3 linked regions of the Lepisosteus oculatus genome follow. The protein of the gene in region 1 purifies or fractionates together with the protein of each later gene. This does not show direct contact. Links are inferred from orthologs where the notes say so. Each region holds a gene or a part of one and is shown in the gene's direction. Other genes may lie near its edges. The genes, in order: ddb2, cops8 and xpc.

Evidence for each region.
Region 2: the proteins of ddb2 (region 1) and cops8 purify together in Homo sapiens (affinity purification with mass spectrometry; 6 studies listed by BioGRID and IntAct, counting the BioPlex papers as one, with this or other methods). This does not show direct contact. The link is inferred for Lepisosteus oculatus from reciprocal best matches to the Homo sapiens genes DDB2 and COPS8.
Region 3: the proteins of ddb2 (region 1) and xpc purify together in Homo sapiens (affinity purification with western blotting; 5 studies listed by BioGRID and IntAct, with this or other methods). This does not show direct contact. The link is inferred for Lepisosteus oculatus from reciprocal best matches to the Homo sapiens genes DDB2 and XPC.

The regions. Positions count from the first base shown.
Region 1 is NC_090716.1:4,973,790-4,982,019, reverse strand, and holds the start of ddb2 (DNA damage-binding protein 2), read left to right. Parts: upstream 1-5,107; 5' UTR 5,108-5,701; coding exon 5,702-5,918; intron 5,919-6,561; coding exon 6,562-6,689; intron 6,690-7,041; coding exon 7,042-7,233; intron 7,234-7,381; coding exon of another isoform or gene 7,382-7,527; intron 7,528-8,230.
Region 2 is NC_090707.1:9,847,818-9,855,852, forward strand, and holds the start of cops8 (COP9 signalosome complex subunit 8), read left to right. Parts: upstream 1-4,800; 5' UTR 4,801-4,848; coding exon 4,849-4,920; intron 4,921-6,077; coding exon 6,078-6,148; intron 6,149-7,223; coding exon 7,224-7,272; intron 7,273-8,035. UniProt on the Homo sapiens protein: Component of the COP9 signalosome complex (CSN), a complex involved in various cellular and developmental processes.
Region 3 is NC_090699.1:55,825,392-55,833,005, reverse strand, and holds the start of xpc (DNA repair protein complementing XP-C cells), read left to right. Parts: upstream 1-4,338; 5' UTR 4,339-4,508; coding exon 4,509-4,677; intron 4,678-5,193; coding exon 5,194-5,383; intron 5,384-5,701; coding exon 5,702-5,832; intron 5,833-6,678; coding exon 6,679-6,790; intron 6,791-7,300; coding exon 7,301-7,385; intron 7,386-7,614. UniProt on the Homo sapiens protein: Involved in global genome nucleotide excision repair (GG-NER) by acting as damage sensing and DNA-binding factor component of the XPC complex. Has only a low DNA repair activity by itself which is stimulated by RAD23B and RAD23A.

The DNA.
Region 1 (8,230 bases):
TCTTCTTAGGAATCCTGAGTTGGAGGAAGTGATACCAAAGGATCTGGGATGTCCTCATCAGGACAATGTGAGGAAGCAAAGGAAAAACAAAGACCTTGAATCAAGAGCAAGGACATTCGGATCTTTCATCAAATTATGCTCAGATTTCACCATTTCTCAGAGTATTATATTCCTATAAAACTCTCAAAAAGCAGCAGGACAGATTCCTGGTCTCAAGACTATCATATACAGACATGCAGTAAATAAAACTAGATCTCTTCACTGAAAGGATGATTAATATGAATATAAAATCCTAAAACGTATAGTCAGCCCAATGGACTTCTTCAGGCTCAGCTCAACAGGAAACTGAAGGGGAATTAGAAAAATTATTAATACAATGTGTTGCAGGTGTGAGAGCAAGCGTCCCAGCCAAATGATTGAGGCCCAAACAGGGCCCCTTCAAGAAGTGCCTGAGTAAAATTTTAATGACCTTTGCTACTAAACTAACAAGCAAACCAAGGTGGATCAAAAGGTCTCCTCTGGTTTGCAAACTTTCTCTTACAACAATCTTACTTCATGCCCTGTTCTTGGCGATAATTTAAAACTGCCACACCCCAACTAGCACTTGCAGGCATAATGATAGTTAATAAGTAAAAGTACAAATTAACACAGAGACACATTCATTTTTCAAGCTCGTATTATTAAGAAAACCTGTATTCCATGTCCAGAAGGTAAATAAAAGTACACAAAACAAGAATCTTTCACCCTAGGTGGTAACAGCTGTCCCATTTCCATTCTACAGTTAACAAAAAACCTTGCAGTAAAATCAGTTTGTAGTTTGTCCATACAAAAACTATTATATAGAATGTGCCATGCTTTCATGCTCAGTGAAACAAAGAAAATCATTTATAAACTTCCAACTGAAATTTGATAGTGTGCCCTTTAGATACTGCTACATTTCCAGTAGAGATCTCATTTTCAGAATAGCATGACCCGGAAGAAAATGGCTTAACTACACTGTTTTTCAGCGTTTAAAGCCACACCCCTCTACTCAAGACACCAATTCGTCCTCCAATTCTCACAAGCATAACAGGGATTAATTTCTGTTTGTAGTACACAACACTTTGTAACTCATGCCATTACTATAAAAAAGAACTCAGTTACTGGTAATTTTTTTACTAGCATTTTCCTAGAATTATGCACTTGGTAAACATGGAGTACCTCTTGTGCTAAGGAATGCAAAACCAAACACTTTAACCCTCTCCTGATCATTCTAAATAAGGAAGCATTTAAAATTTTGTTTACTTAAAGCAAGATAAACTTCTAAATAAAAAACAGATTATCTGAATAGGGGACAGAAGGTTTTTGGCTGCCTCCTGTTGAGTGAAAAGGTATTGTTCAGTAAGGTGGAAGAATAAATGGTATCATAAAGTAATCTTAAGCTAATTTTTAAAAAAAGCACAAATACATTTTTTGCCGTTTATCAGCATTTGAGAAATGCATGTAGTTCTAATGCATTTTGCGGCTCAACTATAGATTAACCTTAAGCCCTCTGGACTAGTCATTGTGGGCTGCAAAGTGATTATTTTTAGGGTTAATGCTAAAGAATTCACAGATGTGTCGCACTTCTGCGTTTGTTTCTAAACGCAAACTCAGTTACTAATGGAACCAGCTGTTTCCATTCCTGATTTTTTCAGGTCTTTCTCTCAGCCTTAACGTTTTGTTATAAATCAGTTCCTATTAACTGGGGAGGAAATGAAGTCTACTCGGACACCAAGCCCCTAAGAGCTAACTGGGGACTGTGAGGCCGGTAACGTTATTCCACCCAAAGTGGTCGAGGGCGCAGCTCCAAAAACCCGCAGGGGGCTGCATTCACGGCTGAGTGCAGTTTACTTGCGACGCAAAAGTGGTGTATTAGTACTCAAGTTCTTGTTTTTAACCTCAGCATCCGTGTAGGTTGTACAATACAATTACACGTATTGAAGGCACATCTTACATCCGACACTTTTGTAAATCATGCATTCCAAATAAAATGTCTGTTCTTCTTCTAGTTTTTAATACAGGTTCCATGCGTAAAAACACACACGGTAAACCGTCAGACTAAAATAATTGTATCCTTCTTTAATAACCTGATCCATTCACCAAGGGAAACAACAGCACTGACTCGGGGACCCCTATATATTTCACAACTGAATTAACCTACAAGCTCAGAAGGAGGTCACCTGTTTCGATGGGTACAACATAAGATTGTGTCATATTAAGAGAAAGCTGTCCCACTGAGAAAAAACGAAAGAGTATATTTCAATGGAAAGCCTTGCATTGTACTTAAAATGCGACTCAACTGGAAAGGGCTACTACTACCAACCCTACGCAGGGGAATCGTTTAAGCAATTACATTGTATACGCCGTCAAACATTTGTTGCATTTCGTTCGCTTATAAATTAACTGCGAAGTAACAAAAACAACACCGTTAAATTTACAAATATTCCTTTAAATCGACTTTAACAACGGGCAGATTCTGATACTTAAAGGCAAACAAAAAGCACTCGCAAAGACGGCGGAGAAAGAAACTAATACTGACACGAACAACGTTGTTTAAAATACCTAGAAACGACACCAGTACCAACCAAACCCTTTTATCTTTGCAGCGAGGGCAGAGTGGTCCGGTTTTCAACAGTTTACGCGGAACCCACCGGTCTCGTCTTCCTCTCCGGAGCCCAGGTTGGATTTCAATGAAAAGGGATACACCGGAGGAAAGCGCGGTGCACGCTGTGCTCCCAAGCGAGGTCACTAGACTACAGTTCAGCACCCCACGCAAACAAATCCACTATTTCCATACTGACTGCGAGCAAAAGAAAAAAATAAAACACATCTATGGGACCGTTAGAGAACACTTCGCATTCAGTAGTTTCGTGCAAATATTCGTCACTTGATGACAAGCTGAAAAGAAGTAATGAGTGACGACTTCACAAATCAACGGTCCTATTGCATCTGGACTATAATTGAGCCCTATGAAACTGTACTCCACAGACATCTATTGACGCTATTGGAATGTAAATGGTTTTTAAACCTTCCACAGGCGTGCAACGCCGTACTTTATTTTATATATATATATACGAAGGTGGGAGATCCGGCTCAAATAATAATAAAAAAAAAACGTTTTACACTTCACATGGAGCATTTGAGCAACATCTCATTGTGACATTTCTCTCTGATTCTTACCTGTTGCGACTTCAGTTTATTTCCAGAGAATGCCTATTTTGTTGCAAAACACAGATAAACGGAAAATCCGCACTTCGCGTTTAAAAAGTCCTCAGTGCATTTATGAGAGTAAACGGTAACACCCCTCCGACTTTAACCAGACCTGCGGGTTTTTCCCCCCCTCAGTTACAAGCTCCTATTACCGTAGTTGATGCGCGGTTACAGCAGGACTGCAGACAAACACTTCGCCGCCATAGAGCAGAAAAGAAGAGGAATTTTCTTTGGGAATTACTCGACCGGCAAGGCCAATTTCGAGGCACAATGACAACGAGAAGTTCAAAAACCGAGCAGAAATGAAGAAAATATCGAACATATAATTGTTTGGGTATTTTTCCTCAGGCAGGTTAAAAGACAACTTGTCTTCTCTTCTCTTCTGGAAGGGTCTTCTGGGGTGTAATTGGATCCTGTGGTTCCGCTCTACGCATTAATCCAATTACTGGATTTAACCCTATAGGTGCCGATGCTAATTGTGAAGAGGATAATGCCACTGTTTTATCGATTCAGAATTTTGAATGATTAGGCATCGTTTTGTATATTGCATCACAAGAGCTTCTTATTTTCTGAATATAGTCCAGCTGGAAAAGGTGTTCCGCGGGAACATCCCGGAGACGTACTCAATTTAATGCCACGGAGGATTTTCCGCTCAGGTTCAATATTAAGCAGTCTCTGTACTTTAGAACTTAATTTTCTAAAATAAATGACATCATTAAGAAAAACAGCACTGCAGAGTGTCAGTAATTTACAACGCCTAAAAGTCAAACTGTGAATGGTCAGCAAAGATGGGAATTAAAGAAATGTTACACACTGCAGGAGACCCTTTGACCCAGCTGGTTTGGTAGTTAGTAGGTAATTAATCTGAGAGTCTCATTCTTCTGTTTCAGAGAGAGAAGCATACTTTTCAAGGTAGCTGAAGGGGAATAGCTCATCTTTCTGTTCCTGAATGAGTTTTAAGTGCATTTTCCTGCTGACATAGATAATACCTTACTTTCAGTCCTCTTCGGTGTGCTCATAAATCAGTGGTTCCCTATCCTGGTGCTGATGACCAACACACCTGTTTGTTTTTGTTCCAGCTGAGCCCTCAGTGACACAATTGAACCCTGTAATAGAACTGCTTCTGACTGCTTATTGTCTTAATTAAAAAAAAACATAGAAAATGCATAAGGATGAAAGTACCAAAAATGGCATCTACTTCCAAGGTCAAGATAGAAGCTATCAGACTGGACTATTTATAGATGAGGAGTGGAATGATTTATGACAAAATAATTGATTTGGTGATCTGTCTCTTTCAGGTGTTTATCAAACACCCTTACACAAATAGCCCTCAATCATTTTTGGATTTATTCTACAATATTACCAGTGTGAGTTCAAACTTTTAAGGCTTTAAGGCTACCTACAAAAAACAGTGGACTGGACTTTCCTAGAGTTTCAGTTTCCAGGCACCCAGGATTCATATTTCTGTATTGTCTTTTGGAATGATCTTAACGGCCCGGTTGTCTTTAAGTCTACGTGGTTCTAATTTGAATCAATCTGCTCCACAAATATTGCATACAACCTTGATCATATATATCAGCACCATCATGTGTGAACTTCAGCTACCTGAGTCTTCAGTCTACGCTTTGATTGTCTAATGTCCCTGAATATCGATGATAATTCCGATCAATCTGATCTTCCCTAACACACCTGAAAACTGGTGATATGTGATATATTTTTAAACGTAGTACTCACAATAACCTTGATTTGTCTTAAAACCTTTACGAAATTGGCCAAAATGTGCATAATGATTAGTAGACAATTGTCGGAAAGTTGTCTTCCGCTGAAAGAAAAAAAGGGGGACGGAAAAGTGGATGTATTAGTACTGCCACCTGCTGGATTAACAAAGAGAAAATGTTACAAAACAACCCGGTCGTGACGTCATTAAAAACAAAATCGATCGTGTCTGCGTCCATGTGTTAGGCAAATGAGCGCTTAGTATCGATCACCCTCTAAAAAATCACCATAAAGAACCTCATTCAAGCGTCTTTTACAAAGGATTAGGTGACGTATGACTGCACGGGCTTTGTTTTAAGATGGGAATTTTGCTGTTCGTAATTTTATTTAATGATGGTGTTACGAAACTATAGGAGGGGAAGTAGAACCCAAATTGCTTGTTAAAAATAGAAGTGCATGTGTTTTTTTTAAACATCGAAAAGCTTGCAGTGCTTTTGAATTGTTATTGTTGTCTAAGAATGCTTTGAGAGGCTAAATGCATACATTTCTTCTGCATTCCTGCACTTTTTGTAAGAGCAACTAGTCCCTTATGTTAAAGCTGGATATCTCCCGTATTCTCACGTTATTGCAAAGTTATGTTCTTCAGTCAGATACCAGGAAAATGCTAAGCGTTTAGTTAAACGAGGTCTAGTAGTATTTTGTAGGAATACATTACACAGAGCACTGACTTGAGTGTGAACTTATTTAACCCTTCATGCACAGAAATAGTTTTCCTGTTCCTTTTTATCCGACACACCAGGTGAACAGCACAAGGAAAGCGATGGCCAAAAAGAAAGTTCTCCTGGACAGCACGGTGCCCAAACGCCAAAAGGAAAGGCCATCCACCTCTCGGAGCAAACGAGCAGAGCCTTCGGAAGAACCCCTCTCAAGAAAGCTGAAGAAGAAAAAGGAAGGCGTTCCGGGGAAAGCAGGTGTGTGACTGGAGCTCATGGCTTTGTCTCAAGTTGAATTTCCCCAAGCAGGGACGGTTCAGCAATAAGGCATGCCTGCCCAGCTCCCCAACAAGTAGTGGGCGGAATGAGACTGCGGCGCCAGCGGTTCCCCTCTGAGTTGCTGCTCCATCTGCTGGTGCTTGTGCTCAAGCAATCAGTACCAGAAGACAAGGGAATGTTACTTAAAAAACGATGTGCATGGTTGTTACAAAGCGACCTTTTCCACTGCTCCTTACTGTCGTTTCCTCTGACTTTATGGAATTAGCCAGAGGATATTCCTGTACATGCGGTCTCTTCGATTTATTTACACTTTAAATGACTTTGGTTTTAGAAATGTAAGAATTACCATAAACAGCCAGTGGGATTTGACTAATGTCATGTACTGAAAAAAGTAAAATCCTGGCTAATTCTTTACAAAGTTCGAATAACTCAAACTTGTAGTGGTATGAGAGTATTGCTTTGATTTTGCTTTTCGATTGTTTTTTTTTAACTTCTAAATTTCAGTGGGACATTTAAAAAAGACAGGTTTCCCCAGGTTTAACCCCGATAATGGTTATGTTTAGTGGTAGGTTTGGCGAAAATGATGGTTTTTGTAATCATTCTGGTCTTGTTCTTATTTCAGAAGCAAGATCTGAACTCCAGAATAACAGAGAGAGTGTGGGGTTTCAGAAGGCGGCCAGGCAGAACAGTATTGTCCATTATGTGTATAAACACTCACTGGGTCAGAACATCCAGTCACAGATGCGCCAGGTTTGAATTTCTTTTTAGAGCTGCCGTCTAAAGAACGTTTTTTTTCCCCTTTTTGTCAGAAAGATAAAATGATTTTGTAAGGTATAGCAGAATAATGGTAACTCTCTTAGTGATTTTATCAAGCCATGACCGCTCCCTGTTACACAAACATTTGACATATAGTCAGTCACATACGGAGCGAAAAAGAAAAAAAAAAGTGTGCTGTTTCTGTCTCCGGACATCGGAGTTGTATCTTAAGAACACACATTTGAAGCGTGCTTGTGAGAAATAACTGCACTGCCTGTGCCATCCCTCTGTAAATCTGGCCTCTTTTCTTGTCTGGAAGACCGATGTGGCTCTCCTGTCTCTCCAGTGCCTACAACAGCCATTCCTGCGCTTTCTGAACTCCTACAGTCTCTTCCATGCAGCCAGCCCATTCGATCGCAGGGTGACGTGCCTGGAGTGGCACCCAACGTGCCCCAGCACCCTGGCAGTAGGCTCCAAGGGGGGGGACATAGTGTTGTTGGACTACGAAATGTCAAAGAATACCAAGTTCATCCAAGGGGTGAGTGGTTTCTCTCCAGGCCTGGCAGGTATATACAGTATGCTGTGGTTTTGTCTGGGTGTGAATTCCATTCCAAGAATGTAGTTAGCACACCGTGATCAGTGTCCTGAGATATTTTCCTTTTGTGTTTTTTTTTATATTTGTTTAGATGGGAGCTGGGGGCTCCATAACAGACATGAAGTTTAACCCTTTCAATCCCAGTCAGCTGTTTACATCGTCTGTCGGAGGCACGACCTCTCTGCAGGATTTTACAGGCAACACTATTAAAGTTTTTGCCAGCACTCATCAGTGGGAGTAAGAAAGTTTTGATGCAGTTTTTTAACTTATTGTTGACTTTTAAAAATGCCGAAGGGCAAAACTAGACACTTGTACAGTGAATCTTAGTATAGTTTAATGGTGTGTCATGACTTACTATATATTTAATTATTGCCTCAGATCCTTTAAGTCTGCTGTAAGATTTTGTTTTTCAATGGAGGTAGATGCTTCTGAAAATACACTAACACTCTGGGAAGCAGCTACGTAATACTCCAGCTTCTCCAGCTGTTTTGGTAAATCTTTGCTATTTTATGGAATTCTATGGTCATTTTTTCATAGCTGAAGCAGAAATAAAAAATAAATCAAGCATCAGCAAGTCCTGTCTGGCCATGGTAAAGCAGAAATATTCTTAGTATTCATGTCAATTGTGAGCACTGCAGATCTTTAGCTATATTCAGATTTCTGACCAATTTCCTTATTCTTTCCAAAGCAGTGAACTGAAATACACAGTCCAGCTGAGCTGGTCTTTTGTTTTCCTGTGTGGCATTTACATTGAACCTAAGTAATGCCATGATGAACCAGTTTTTAGAAGCGCTACTGAACTTGAAAATCCATGTTTTTTTAATGGCAGAAATAAAGAGAATGATGCATAAAAGTAAGGTTCTGTTTGATTAGAGTGATGTCATTTTAATTCAGTCTCTAGCCATGTGAATGATTGTCTTTTAAGACATGTCTAAGCACT
Region 2 (8,035 bases), on another chromosome or scaffold:
GCACAAATCTTTATTTTGCTACACATGAGGGAGAATATCTGCAAGGTACTGGCAGGAAAATGTACGATTATTGAGATTCACTGGATGACTTAATCACAGTTACTGGGCTCTGGTTCAAACGTATTGCATTACAGCAGTGAAGACACGTATCTGTCAGGTGGGGCTGCACATTGGTGGTATTGAAGGGGGTCCCCATTACCTGTAATGCCCTTTGAGTGGAGTGTCCAGAAAATCACTATATAAGTGTAAGCAATTATAATTATTATTAAGACCTTGGCCTGTTCTGAACTTCACTGGGCAGTAATGTGCTCAGTGAGGTGTTCCTTAACAAGTGGTAGTTTTATTTTTTGTCCGGAGTGGGAAGAAAAAAAGTTACATTAAACTGTAAGTTAGTTTTAGCCAAGAACTCTTTAATACTCAAAAAAGAATTAAGAAATACACAAATTTGCAGCTATTGACCTTCTGACATTTGCAGTGTCATATATTTTGGTATTTATACATTATGTTTGACTGATTGTAATGGTGAGAATATTTCCTTTAAATTCCTGCATTAATTAAACTGTAGTATTATACTGTTACTAATAATAATTATCATTATTGTTGTTTTTATTTTATGCACAACCTTTTATGACATCTCAAACTCTTTATACGAATGAAATTCATAGGAGCTCTTGCATACAACAGGAATAGAGATACAGTACAGTATGTATGCTCCAGTATTTAATTAAGATCCAAGTCTTTGAGTTCTGAACATATTGCAACTGAGGTGTCAGGAGAGCCAATCAGAACAGCTTTGGTCTTGTGAAAGTTCAGATAGAAAAATCTGTGAATGTCCAGCATGAAGGGGCATATACAGTAAATAAAAACTGTGGTGCTTTCATTAATGTGTGAGGGGAAAGACAGAAGACAGGAAGTTATCATTGGTGCATCCCACAGCATTTCCTTTTTTGTTCCAATGGCTGTACAACAAGAGTAACCAGGACCTTGTAGAAAAGCAAAAAAAAGATTTTGCTAATGTACTGGAACAATCTTCCACTACGTAAAAAAAGACCACACATCCGGTGCTTGATAGCATGAACTGAATGACCAGTAACAGGAGGGGATTTACTGGCTGCACTAGGAAGCTGACCTTCAATGAAGTGGTCTGACCGGCCTGAGATAAGAGTCCTCTGACTAGAGGGGCCTGTGGGACCCAGCAGATAATTTGTTACCCACGTGAAGACTGTCCTATCGCTGTATTTCAAGGTACTGCACAGATTGAAGTGTACCATTCAATCTCCAGAAAACCAAAAGTCAGATGCCAGTAATTTCATTCTTGTTAGGCAATTCGAAGTGGGAGGCAGGGAGTGAAAGGCAATGGTCTACACAAGGAAGTTACTGTACCTAAGTGATTGCATGTTTCAGGTTTATTCCGGATCTAAAGAGACATAATAGTTTATGGAGTGAAAGTACTTTGTTTTGGATTGTTGTGTCCCTTGCTGTGCTTTATTTTTATCCTTGTTCGTGTATTGTATAAGCACAGGCTATTTCTGTGTCTCATCAAAGTATGGTATATCAACATTCAAATGATGAATCCTGTCCCTTCTTTCCTGAGAACAATGCGCAATAAAAACAGACTATCTCATTTAAAAGCAAAGCGTGGGAGGTTATTTTACACTGCAATCTCCAAAGGAAAAATAGAACACAATACATGATATCTAAGCTTTGTTTTTACGGATTTCCTGTGTAATTTGAATGAAAGAAAACTTTCCCTTCTAAACAGGAACCATGTCTACACGAGATAGTAAAAGTCACATTTATTTAGCTCACTTATTTAGAATTCTTGAGCTCTTTTAGAATCTGCTCCATAAGCATTTATGTGCAGTGTTTAAATTTCTTAACTAAAGCAATTGCCTGCATACTGTACTTACAGTAATTCAGTTAGGCATTGCAAAAACAAGTTCAATTTGCAAGTTTTAAAATGTTTTTGGAATATCAAAATCCATCTCACTGAAATTAATAGATCTTTGCAGATCTCAGTATCATGTACCTGCACTCTGAAATGCGTTAATACAGAAGATAGCATCTTAGGCTGATCTAAGTATTATCTCAGAAACATTTAACTGTTTATTGGTCCAATTGGCCCATATAATTTAATTCCTTCTAATTTAATAAATTATTCTAATCATTTGCAATTTAAACATGACTACACATGAAAAACAAAAGACATGTTAGCAAGACATGTATCAACAATTCTGGTCATTACTATGTTGCAACTCGCGTAATAAATGTAATATGTGAATAAAATTAAATACAATATCACTTACTTTAACATATGATCATTTTGTATTTTAATACCTGCTTCCTTCTCATCTATTGATTTCCAGTATTTACTGGAAAATACCCCAGGTGAAAATCCTAGATACTATTTCAGCTAAATTCCTGATGTGTCGTAAAATGGTGATTTTAGTTTATGGGCTCTATTATGGTGCTTTGTAAGGTCATTGGCCATTTATGATAAAAATAAACCACATAGAATCAATATAAATAAGCTTTAAAGAAACCATAGAAGTGCCCTAAAGGGCAGTCACTTTGCCTCAATTTTCATGTTCTCAACCTGTTAAAAATATATTGAGTAATGTTATGAATTTTTTAGGTCAAGTGTGAACTGTTGCACTATGGACTCTGTTGATGGATGTTTCTTGGATTAATTCAAGAACACTGCTAAGCAATCTTAGGTATTTATTTTTTGTAAATACCAATCTTCCACATGCAGTTCTTATTAGTTTATGACAGCTCCAGACTGGGAGTTTTTATGAGCACTCAGGATGGGAAAAGCAGTATATCGGTTGTGTTATCACACTTTCTAAATAGAGTCATTTAGGCTTTTACTCCTAATTGTAAAGACAAATAGCGGCAAGGTGAAAAATCACCACAGTAATGCTCCCAAAGGGTAATACGAATTTTAATCTTGATATGGTTTTGGATGGCGTCCATTTAATAAACTACGTGTAGATCATTTAGTTGAGATTTTTTTACCGTTTTATTTTTGTTTACGATGCATTTAAATTCACGAGACCAACATATAAACATGACCCTTTTACATTCGTAATTTTTTTTGGATAATTATTGTTATTTGTATCTGATAAAACACAAAATGCCTGCAATGACGACAAACGGCTCCGAGACTCCCTGTACCGTACCAGAGATTTTCCTCAGCGGTAAGATCGGAACAGTCCCTACCTCCGTGTCCCGGCTACCACGTTAAATAAGGAAAAAAGTTGCAACGCAGTGGTTCAGTGGAGCAAAACTCGGCTCACCCTGCATGGCTCTAATAACGACCGCAGAACAAGGAGTACTGATCCACCTCCTGGAACAGGAGAGCCAAGACTATGGTTTTCAATAACATTTTCACTCCTCAGTCAATAAGCAGGACGTTATAGAGCTGGAAAACGGACTGGTCATTTATGAATTTACTCTGGGTAATATACTGGGGTGTAAATAACAAAATACAATGATGTTTATTTGCATGTTTTATTTGAGGTTTTATTTGATCTCTCCGCTTCCCTGAACAACGTGGATTGGCACTTATACATTTCTTTACACCTCTTTCGTCTGTCAAACGAAACTTTAAAATCCCACGACATTACAATATCATGACGTTGCCGTGTTGGAACTACAATATATGAAATATATATCTTCAATATAATAACGTTAGTCACATATAACACTTTCCCTCTTGATTGAAATATTTAAGATGTAAATATAAGTAGGAAAGGGTTTAGTGACCAGGTCTAGTGCAAATGATCACATTACTCCTATCCTGGAGTCCTTGCACTGGCTTCCGGTCAAATTCCGTGTAGACTTTGAAATCCTCATGCTCACCTATAAGGGTCTGCATGGCTTGGCACCTCAGTATCTGTCCGAACTATTATCGCCCTACTCCCCACCTCGCAACCTTCGCTCTTCTAATTCTGCCCTCCTTACTGTCCCCCAAGCCTGTCTACATTGTATGGGTGACAGGGCCTTCTCCTGTTATGCCCCCAAGCTCTGGAACTCTCTCCCCAAGGATATCAGAGAGTCACCTTCTCTAAACTCCTTCAAATCCAGATTCAAAACCCTCTTCTTAAAGTAAAAAACCTTTACTTAACTGGTTCCATTCTTCACCCCTCTGCTTTTCTTAGTACCACCATCCACGGTCTCCTCTATATATTTTAATTGTGTTTTATCTTGTGTATTCTTTTTATTTATTGTTGTTGTCATTCCATAAAGCGTTTTGAGAAGCCACATTTAAAGGCGCTTTATAAAATAAAGTTTATTATTATTATTATTATTATTATTATTATTATTATTATTATTATTATTATTATTATATTTTCTTACCAGATTTTACGGTGGACTATCATGCGAAGTATCAATGATCTCCTGTAAAACATTTAACAAATCAGTGCGTTTAACTTTCTTTTTTAAGGCCACAGTCCGCTTTTTTAAAGCGAAATATTTGTATGGAGTGACATCTAGTGTTTCTTATTTCATTACATTCCTGTGAAACATCGGGTTTGCTTGACCAGAGAAAACGGATACATTCTAAAATGTTGTTGCAATATAGGTTTTAATATTAGGATGTACAGAAGTATAATAAATACCTTAATTTGATTCATTATTTAATTCTGTACGAAAGTTCTCCTTCGGAAGATCTACAGTAGTTTACTGCACACGATAGTCTATTAAATACCACGCACGTAGTTTTCCCCTCCACTAGAGGTCGCTAGGAAAGTTTCTGCGCCGTAATAATATTATACGCCGCACTCTGTATCCCCGGAAAGGGAAGTGTTTTCATCTGTTACTGTTTGGGTTGGTTTTCCAAAAATGCCAGTGGCGGTGATCATGGGAGAGAATTACAACAAACTTCTGGAGCAGTGTGAAACCCAGGAGTTGGAGGTATATAGCCGATTCCCTAAAAACAAGGTTGTGTGTTCATTGCCAGCCAGGACCTGGTGTAGAGACGCCACAACCGTTCAGTAACATCCCGGACAGTGAACACAACGTGTTGCTGAAGCAGCCGGCTTGCAGTCCTCAATTACTCGGTTACCTAGGATGCTGTTGTTAGACCTCGGGTGGTTGTTTAAAGGCAGTGATCACACTAGGGAAATATTTTCCCGATGTTTCATATGTAAACAGTATTTTTGGAATCAATGGTTCGCTGGTGCTGTGTCGCCTGTTCTATTCAAGTATACACGCATGTGTTTTATTGTCGTTTCCATCTGTGTCGGGGGGGCATAGCAGATCAGATCTCTATTTATGACTAGAAGGCTGCTCCCTTGAGCCAGGTGCCTCATACGAGTTGTGCACAGCTGTAAAAGTCTGCACCAGATTTGCTGGGGAGAAACCACGAGAATAGGAGAGCTTTCAGTCTGGGGTTGGGGGGTCACATAGCCACAGCCCGCTTAATCCTGCAGAAACTGGGGTAACCACGAAACTAGAGAACCGCTACAGTTGTAACAGCAACGTTTGTACGCAATGTCTGATGGTATTCATTTTATAAGTATTGATAACTGACGAATTTACTGACAGAAATTGTTACCAGTACGAGAGTTGTTGAATAGTTTTCAGTTAGCTTGCAGGAGATTTTCTACGTGCTCTATTAATACCTTTGAGTTCTGATAGGCATTACTTTCCTTGGTACTGTAATGTGTTTGCGGTATTCTCAAAGTGAAGGACAATGCAAGTATCTCTTACAATAAAAGATCGTCTAGTTTTGTTCGTTAGCTTAATCACTGGGATTTTCAAATTCAGTAACTGAAAGCAAAAGTGATCATATCTCTTGAATATACATTACTGCTTTTTTGGATATGATGCTGAAATTCATTGTGGGGATGAATTTCTTTTCTCAATTCCAATTGCATCCAGTGAAACTCGTTTTTTTAAATGGTGGCATATTTGAATTTTTGCATGATTATGGTAAAAATTCCACATTTGCAAAGCATTCTGAAATATTTAAATAAATATTTTTGTTAAAAGTTACATTTATTATTGCCATGTATTTTCTGTATTTTGTATATAATTACAATTTAAAAAGTGCTTTGTTTTCTTTCAAGGCACCTGGTGGCATTGCGACTCCTCAAGTGTACGGGCAGCTGCTGGCCCTATATCTCCTGCACAATGACATGTGAGTTATAGCAGAGTACATGTTGTCATTCAGAATCTGCCACTCAGGATTTACTGTCATCAGAGCAGGTTGTAGGCTCAGTAAATTACATTGATGGGCTACTTTACTGTGCATTGTGTAGGCACATGGGCTACTTGTTCACAACTGTTATGGATCCTTAACTTTTCATAGTCAAAAATAAGTTTCGAAGTTACGAATCCCTTCATAATCTAATATAGGGCTCTCCCCTCTGAGTCCATCCAGACATCTTAATTGTGATGGCACAAATAGATAAATCTGTATTGTGTTGATTTGCCATGACAGATGATAAGAACAGCTAGGATTTTCTTCCATATGGAGTAGATTTTAATATTGGTAATCATAGTTACAGGTGTAATAGATTTCTTCTTCCCCCTTATCAAAAGAAAAATCATAGGAACTTAGAAACATACAAGTTTATATGTAGATAGAACTGTTTTTATTGTTTGCATGAAGGTAATTGAGTTTCATATACAAAAAAACATTTAACTTTAAGCATAACTAATATCTGCAAAGACAGACACTGGTTTATAGTCTGTGTCTTAAAGTTGTAATAGCAGAGCACAGTCAATTAATCAAAGGTAATTACCTAGTCTCATCTAATGCAGCTTTAATGTTTTTGTGATAAAACACCATGCAGCACAGAAAACTGAACCATTGAAAGCACTAACAGCAAATGGCTTTAGCATAGTTTTACATGTTTTTTTTACATATGGCACTGGTTAAGTCTGTCATGGTGAAGCTGGTGATTTACCTAAAGCAACAGAAGCATTGCACTTGTAAGCTTAGCTTTCTCGAGACCTACACGTTCATCCCTTAGGATAGGTATATAAATAAAAATTAAAAATGGGACAGAGCATCAAAGCTGTTGGTCCCAACTATTTAATTCTTGTGGGAGTCACAAAGCTTTTGTGCACCCACGTCTTTCCTGTGTGAAAAAGCCCTCAAGAGACATCAAAGCCAGTCTGTCTGGACTCACCACATGGAAAGGATATGGAAAGTACTGGTTTGCATTGTTCTGGAATTTGAGGAATGTCTGTCTGTGTTCTGTTTTTAGGAATAATGCCCGGTATCTTTGGAAGAGAATCCCACAAGCAATCAAATCTGTAAGTACTTACTAAACTTTATTTGTGATGTATTAAAGTGATTAAAAACTCAGATATATTTAACATCAGCAGAAGACACATCTAACAGATAAGATGGTTTGGGTGTTTTTTAAAAGAAATCAATGGTTCTTGTTTTTGAAACCAGTTCTAAGTCTAGTTCAAGGCAAGTTTGCTTAGAAGTAGACAATAAGCATTAACATTTTGACAGCAGTGAAGTGTAGATTGCAAAAGAAATGTGCCCACAGAGCCTCAGATTCTGTAATATCTAAGCCCTTATGTTTAATACTCCCTGGTTTGGAAAACGTTATGTACTGTTATACTTAAGGTAATTTTTTAAAATTATTTTACTTTGAATGAAACAGAATAGAAAATGAGGAAATTAAAAATCTAGCTGCTGTGTTTTTAACACCCCTTCCAAAAAAAGAAAATTGATAGTTCTTGCAGAAGATATCTCCAAACTCTCGATCATTTTTAAGAACTATAATTTTAGTGCTAAGTATAGTCTTTGAATTGTTTTTTCCTTTGAAGTATAAAGATAAAAATAAGAGATAACAGAATGCTGCACTCTTGAACTGGGATGATTGAATCATGAGGGATTTCATTATCTCTGCCACGTGTCTCTGGCCTGCAGTGGCATCGACAGCTGACATTTAGAGCTGTTGGGAAACAGCTTAAGTAACCTGTTCCTGGGCTTCAGGGACATATAGAACTTTCTGTCTTTTTATAAGCTACACTCTGTTAATGTTTCTCTTTATCTGTCAGA
Region 3 (7,614 bases), on another chromosome or scaffold:
AACAGGAAGCAATAAGGAACTGTGAGACATTTACATCACACCAAATTCCCAGTATGGTGACCAAGAAGGGAACTGTAATAAGTGCCATCCTTCAAATAAGATGCTAAAATGTGGTCCTTTGATTAAAGGCCTCATGGTGCTGTTGGTGAAAATACAAGTGTCTTTGTTACTTTCCAGTCTGGGCTTGAACAATCTGACCAAGTAAATGTCTCCTCTCTCCCCCAGATTCAATTAATAAAGCAATTTTTCACTGCGCTGTCTTATCTGCTGTATAATGGGGCTGCTGGCTCACAATGGCTGCCACACTTCACCCTTGTGGGTACTGCACCTCAGTGGGGGACAGAGGGGGTCACTTCTCTTGATTTTAGAAAATATACTTTGGGGATCCCTATCAGGAGTTGCAGCAAAGAGGCTGGTTAGCCACTCCCTATGCCAGCCTGTGGTAGATTAATCCAGGAAAGGTTCCGGAAAGTTCCAAAAGTAACCAAATCCTAAAAACATGAAGCAATGGCGTAATCAAAGGATTGAGCTAGGGTTTCGAGAGCCAAAAGACAATTTGGTTTAAAGTATTTCTTTCCCGAACTACGTAAAGCGAGGGTTGAGCTCGGAAGAGGCAACCTCATTAGTGAGCAGAGACTGAGTGGAGTGAGAGGGTATACTGTAAATACGGAAGATGGAGGGAAGAGTGTGTAGAAAGATAATTGATTAATTAGTGCATGGATGTTAACGGTGAGAAGTGCTTACGTGTGGTTTGTGACAATCCTTTAAAAAAGTAGTGTATAAATGCAAGTACCAACTATTAACTATCAATCACTTTTCTGAGTGTTTCTTTACAGAAAGAAACAACGTATTGTGCCATAAGTACAAAAGCAGTAGGTGCTGAAAAGTGTTCAGAATTAGTTCCCTTTTTCTTATCCTGTTTGCCTCAGAGCATACCAGTATCCACATGTTGATGGGACAGGACAGATGCTGTCTTTGCTGTACCAAACTGGGTTTTGTCATTGGCTTCAAATGAAAAAGTCACCCTCGGAAGAGGCCACAGATCTTGTTGTAGTTACAAAGTAAAGTGTTACATATCTGGATGTTACACATTGCTTGAGATGAATATAGTCTTTCTTTAAAGGAAACACTTTCCGGTGCAAATGAGAGTCCTTCCTAGTTCATGATTTTCACTTATTAAAGTGGTCATTTTGTGCAAGTTTTGAAATGAAGTAAAACTAAGACATTCAATTAATCTTCCATTAAATGTCTTTTCATTTACCATATGTAATCTAACCCTGCTGCAAAGATCAGAATGATTAATCTAATCAGTTTAACATAATGTGAAGGTTTCTAGACATTCAAAATCCAACCTCTCAGAGCAGGGTTGTTACACAAGTGGAAGACTGCTGGTTAGAATCCCGACATCTTGCTATTCTAAAAAGTTCAAAACACAGCAATCAGAACAGCAGGTCCTGTAACTAAGGCAATAAAGTTTTACATCTGTTTTTGAAGGACACAGGAGATGTATCTCTTCAATTAACTTCTGTCTACTTCAATGTTTGTATACATCTCTTAGTACCCTCAATTTTGTAAACACCATATTGTTACAGTATATATGTATAAAATGACAGTGCTGGAGACACATAAATGGGTTAATTTAGGATGAGGTGTAAACTGGGAGCACTTAGTGAGATTTTTGTCTAATTCTTTTACATGTTCTGTTCCTTTTTCATGTTTTTGTGTATGGTTAAAGGAAAGACACTATCAGGGAGATTGATCAAGTCCATGTTTTGTCCTGTTGTACATTTTATGTAATTCTAAACTGTGAGATAATGTGTGAAATAAAGTCCACCAGCTTATATAATCTTGTATCTTTGTGTTCTTTTGTTGGTGTAGCCACAAAACTAAACCTTCCACGTATGTTTTCTTATTTACTTTAAAATGTAAACTTCAAGCATGTTCTGTGCTGGGGTGGAATTAATCCCCTCCCCCATCTCCAGTTAGAACAAATAGTGCAGATCCAACATTTCACTGTGGGAAAAATGCGCTGCACAGCAATGGAACAGGTATCTCGTCACAGTCTGGAACTGGATTTGCAAGGAGAAGAAAAAGGCGGTCACATGGGAAGAATTATGTCATTTCGTGGTCTCATGGTGATTTTAATTCAGCAAAGGCAGCGACTGAAAACAGAGAAACTGGCTGATCTTCAAAGAAAACAAGAAAAACTGCACCAGAAAATCAGATAAAGGACAGTATGACATGAGACATAAACATGAGCTTAGACGTGCTTGTACCAATATTCTATAATGAAATACCTACATTATGTTGTGAAGAGGTGGTACCGACCTGCTGCAGAACTGTTAATATGTGTATTGCCAGAACTTATGTTTTCATTAATCAACTATGCTTCATTTATTTTTTCTCTCTCAGAGATGTATCCTATTCAAACTAGGACATCTGCTGTGAAAGATTTGAATATTCAAAGCAAGTGCCGGCTCAGAACCAGCGTGCAAGATGACCGTGCCAAAACATACAGTAAATGGCTCTGTGTGATGTGGGCTTTTGAGGGATATTGGACTCATACAGGAAAGGGTGCCACACACTGAAACTGAGGTCAATGAAGGAAAAAGCTGAACAATGTGCAAATAAAAGAGCAAATGCAACAACACTTGAAAAACTGCATGAATCAAAATGATTACAGATCATCTGTAGATAGTTGTCTCGTTTAAAAATTATACCTGTTCCATATCTTATGATGTTTTTCCCGCCTAGCTATTACAGAACAAAGAGCTTCTATTACAATTTCACAATGCTTACTTGATTGTCTATCTGTATTACACAGGAGTAGAGTAGGGACTGGCAAACACCAGACCTTCAAATTTAGGATCTGGTACAACCAATCCTTTGCATGCTTGATTGATAATCCTTAATTCATGCATTGAAAAATGGGAGCCAGAAACCTGCACCGAAAAGCCTGGTATTCTTTCACCCCTGCTACAGAGCATAGCGCTTCATCGGTGAGCTTCAGAGAATGCTGCAAGGAACACCTTCCCAGCTGGCTTCACAACCACCTAAAGAAGCTGTCGTGGCTGAATTGCGAGATACTCTACAGCCTGATTAAAAAGCCAAACAATAACACAGAATTAGACAGAACATAAAACAATTCAATACATACGAATTAATTTCTCTTTTGAAGAAAATGTAATGCTTTAGACAGTTTTAGCATTTTGGCACAGTATAGATTTTTTTTAGATTGGGTTATATACAGAGTCGCATAACATAATTGTAAATAATCGAAAAACACATTAAGTACTTTAATTGCAAATACTGTACCATTACTTTAGTGCTGTAAATGAAAAGAAAAAGAGTAAGCAAATATATATTTTACCAAAAAGATCAAATTTACTGACCTTATTACCAGAGTAAAGTTGTTGTTTTTTTAATTTCGTAGGTCAGCTTCTGGGTTTACATCAGTTCATTCTATAAATTCTTGTGAACATATACAGTACAGTACCACCTTCACCCAGTTAGCAGACCCGTATTAGGAGAAGGAAATATTACCAAGCAAAATATTTGCCTGTGGCTCCACCTAGTGTTCCTTAAAATAAAATAGAAAACCAAAATACAGTGTTAGACAACTCCAGTCGTCGAGAGACGGTTGGTATTCCAACAACTACAGCAAAGGCTTCTGAAATTATTAACTTTAGTGAGCTCAATGGGTAGCTGCTTCATGCATGCGTACTGACATTTACACTGAGAATTTCACTTGAAGTGAAACTGTCCCAAAACACTTGAAAAGGTCACTTTGAAATCAGAAGTAGGTTGAATATTAAATGTACCTTGTTAACGTGAGTAAATGTTTACAAGGAATTATCCAAAATAAAAAAAATTGTACTCATCAATCATGTTATTTCTCATGAAAATAAATACGAAGTTCTTGACTGAGAAGTAAAAATATATTTTAACTTTCTCCAAAATATTTTGTAGTGCATGATATGCATATCTACACACGTGCAGCTTCGTTTTACAGCCTGGGCTGATGACGAAAAGTAAATCTATGCACATGCAAAAGGACTCATTTGAGCAACTCTGCATATATACTGTATATTAAACGAAGGGGTCTTTCGGAAAGAATTGATAATGTATCTTTCGCTAATTCAAGTTTTTGCATTGCATAAACTGAATATCATTGTCGAAGTAAGCAAAAACATCGAAGAAATATCATTCCATGTAAACATGTATATTCAAGTCAGGTACAACCACGTGTAGCTAACAACATTCAGCTACATCAGCACCCCGATGGCGGACATGTTATTGGCCGGAAGTTGACGTTCGACGTCACTTCTGAAACTGGTCTGCAGGGAGAATAACAACAAATGATACGGAGAATGTTATGAAAGCTTCAGGCATTGTACAACAAGAGTCTGGGGGAACTTCCTGCAAAATGAAAGAGGTTACATAAGTTAAACTCTATGGAGTGTGCGCACGGTGGAAACCGAAGTTCATTCGAGTAACGTCGGTCGTGCATGTTTTTATTTGTGTTGCAACTAAAGTTCCTGCAGCCTGTTACGAGCATGGCCAACAAGCGAAAAGGGTCAGTTGATGCCGCCGCAAAAAAAGATAGCAAGAAATGTAAGCAGGTCACAAAGGGGAAAGAGCAAGAGACTGTTAAAAAATCAGCAAAAAAGATTACAGGTAAGTTAGCATGGTAGTGATTCTTCTGTGCTGTGCTATTCTGTAATCTATTGTGCATACCGGTAACGTTTTACATATATAAAAAATGCATGAACAGTTGATTTTGTTAAAACAATCGTGTGTATCTCGGTATCTTGAATTAAAATCAGTTTTTTTTTTGTTTCTAATCAGTGAGTTTAAACAGCGGCTATTGTTTTTGTTCGTCATGAAACTGATAATTAACATTAACGTAAATAACATGGCCAGGAATTGTAGTAATATAAAATACAATATGTGGTTTCCGTGGAGTCCGAAAATATACCGTTGAGATGTTTGCAGCACATCCTGCAGGTGGTGGGGTTTTGATGTTTTAAAATGTTTTGCGTTGCAGAAGCAACCCCCTCCCGACCTAAATGCAAATATAAGCACTCTTCTCATTCATGACTTCAGATTATGAAAACGTGGGTACGCGAACAGTTACGTGTAGTACCAAAGACCTGGGTCTTATTTCGTCACACAACTCTTCTTTTGATTCAGAGGATGGGCGCCCTAAAGGTGATGCTCCGAAGGCAGTAGCCGCAAAGAAAAGCGCGACCAACTGTAAAAAAGTGCCTGGGGCTGCTGCTAAAACTTCAAAAGCGACGAGTAAACGCCACAGAGCGACCAAGGGAGTCAAAGAAGAGCCTGCACATATAAAAGAAGAAGATGATGATGATGAAAAAAATCGGTAAAAGTCCGAGTTGCTCAGTATCTCTCAACAGGGAGTCGTTCCCAGTTGACATTTTAATGACTCTTGGCATACAGCTATGAGAATGGAATGGTGGCTTGTTAACACTCCTGAGGTTTGTCATCTTGGAGGAGGAGTGCCTAGCTTTTCGGTGTACTGCAAGCAAGCCGTACTATTCAAGCTGGGTGTACAGAATGAGGAGTAGAAGTGCTGTCTGCCAGTCTTTAAAATCTCTTTAAGACACACCCACAGTGCTTGGCCGCGTGAAGGAGTGGTCTGGGATATGACTGATATGATTCGACTTGTCCCGGCGAGCAGGCACGTGCAGCCCAGACAGGAGGAAGGCAGCAGTCAGGCTGGCTGGGGTCGTGAGGGAGCCGCGGTGGTGGTGAAGAAAGAGGAGACGGACGAAGACGAGGAGAGTGATGAGGACTGGGAAGATGTTGAAGGTAAGCCAAACAGCATGTATTTTTTATTTTTTCACTTTTTTTATTTTTAAGTGGATTAACGTGTACTGGGCAGCTCTGAGGGTTGCAAAGGAGCAGGTATCATATACTACAAATGGACAAGTAAAGGTTTATTTCATGCTGAAAAGAGAAGAAAAGAAACGGAACGTTTCAGCCTTCATCGGGATATGACACCTGAAGAAGGCTCCACAAAAGAAACAACGTTGTGTTTCTTTTCTTCTTTTTTCAGCATGGAATGAACGTTTACTTGTTCCGTTGCAGCCTACACATGGTGACACAGCTACCTATATGATATACTGTAGTCTTCAATGGAGACTGTGAGGCAGTACAGTATATATTATTTGGTTTGAAGTGTTAAAGTCATTGCTTATGTGTATCTAGGTCTTATAAGAGCTGCCTATAAGTTCTGCAAACCTCAGAATGACAATGTCATGCTTGAAAATCTAATGTTAGACTTTAGTTTGCAGAGCATATACAGTATGGATACATTTCATTTCCTGGTGAAATTGCCCTTCTCCTGAATTCTTGTGGGTCTGTTTGACCAAGTGGAAGACCCTGTTGGACCCTGTGGTATATTTGAAATAATTGAATCAAATGGGTTTCTGGCCTAAATGGGATACACTACTTTTATCTCTGTTATATTTTAAGTGGAAACAATTCTAACCAAATTCGTTGGATCAGCTCATTTTGAGTAAAATATAGTACTAGTGCTCCGGACAATCTCTACATTACCTGTAAGGAGACCCTTAACCATAAGCGATGTCTCCTTGTGTAAGTCTGTAGCAATTTCCAGGCTGAAGTCCTTGTTTCTCTGAACTTTCTTCACAGAACTCAATGAGCCTATGTGTTCTTCCCTGGGCCCCTCAGAGCCAGCTCTGCCCTCTCAGCCTGTGGAGATAGAGATTGAAACCCCTGAGCAAGCCAAGAAGAGACAGAGAAGGCAAGAAGCAGAGCCTGTTACAACTCTAGAGCTGCATGGACAAACATTTATACAGCACTACCCTCAATTACACAACAGTAATAAAAGTGTGCCACAAAGCATGATTTTACAGTATCTCTTGCTTCTGAAGGGTATAGGTTCACATTTGAAAAAGGATTTTTTTTTAAGCTAAAAAAAGTAAATATTTTATAGTGGATGTTGGAATGAAAGTACATAATGTACAGACAACTTAACACTTTCAATACAAATTGCAGGCAGCACTTACTGTATGTATTTTTGGTGAAAAATATTTGATTTGGCCTCTTTGGAAATAAGTTGGCATGGAGGAGGGGCAGTTGGTTACTGGCACACCTGGACCATCTTTCTGAATGATGCTTTCACAATCATTTGATTGTACAATTACAAATGTAATTAATCGCTTGTTGTAAAGTTATTCTATTTCTGTGTATGTGCATTGCTGTGTCCCTGTAAGTTGATGTGTTAGTGACAGATGTGGTGCTGCATTGGCAGGGAGAGAAGAAAGGCAGAGTTTGAGACGTACCTTCGCCGGATGATGAACCGCTTCACCAAGGATGTGCTCACAGATACCCATAAAGTACGGGCTCACCCATTGTCCAGCTGTCAGTAGAAGCTTAGCAGTGCTCTGGGGTTCAGAGGTTGTGGCAGAGAACCCTGATCACAATCCCTGAAGACAACGGTGATTCCACATATTTAGCAGCTCTAAAAATAAGTTTGACGTTATTGCGCTCAGCAATTTCTCTTGTTTTTGGGGTGCAAATTTCATTCAGAACTTGAGTCTAAAGTAGTTCTATATTATTTCATTG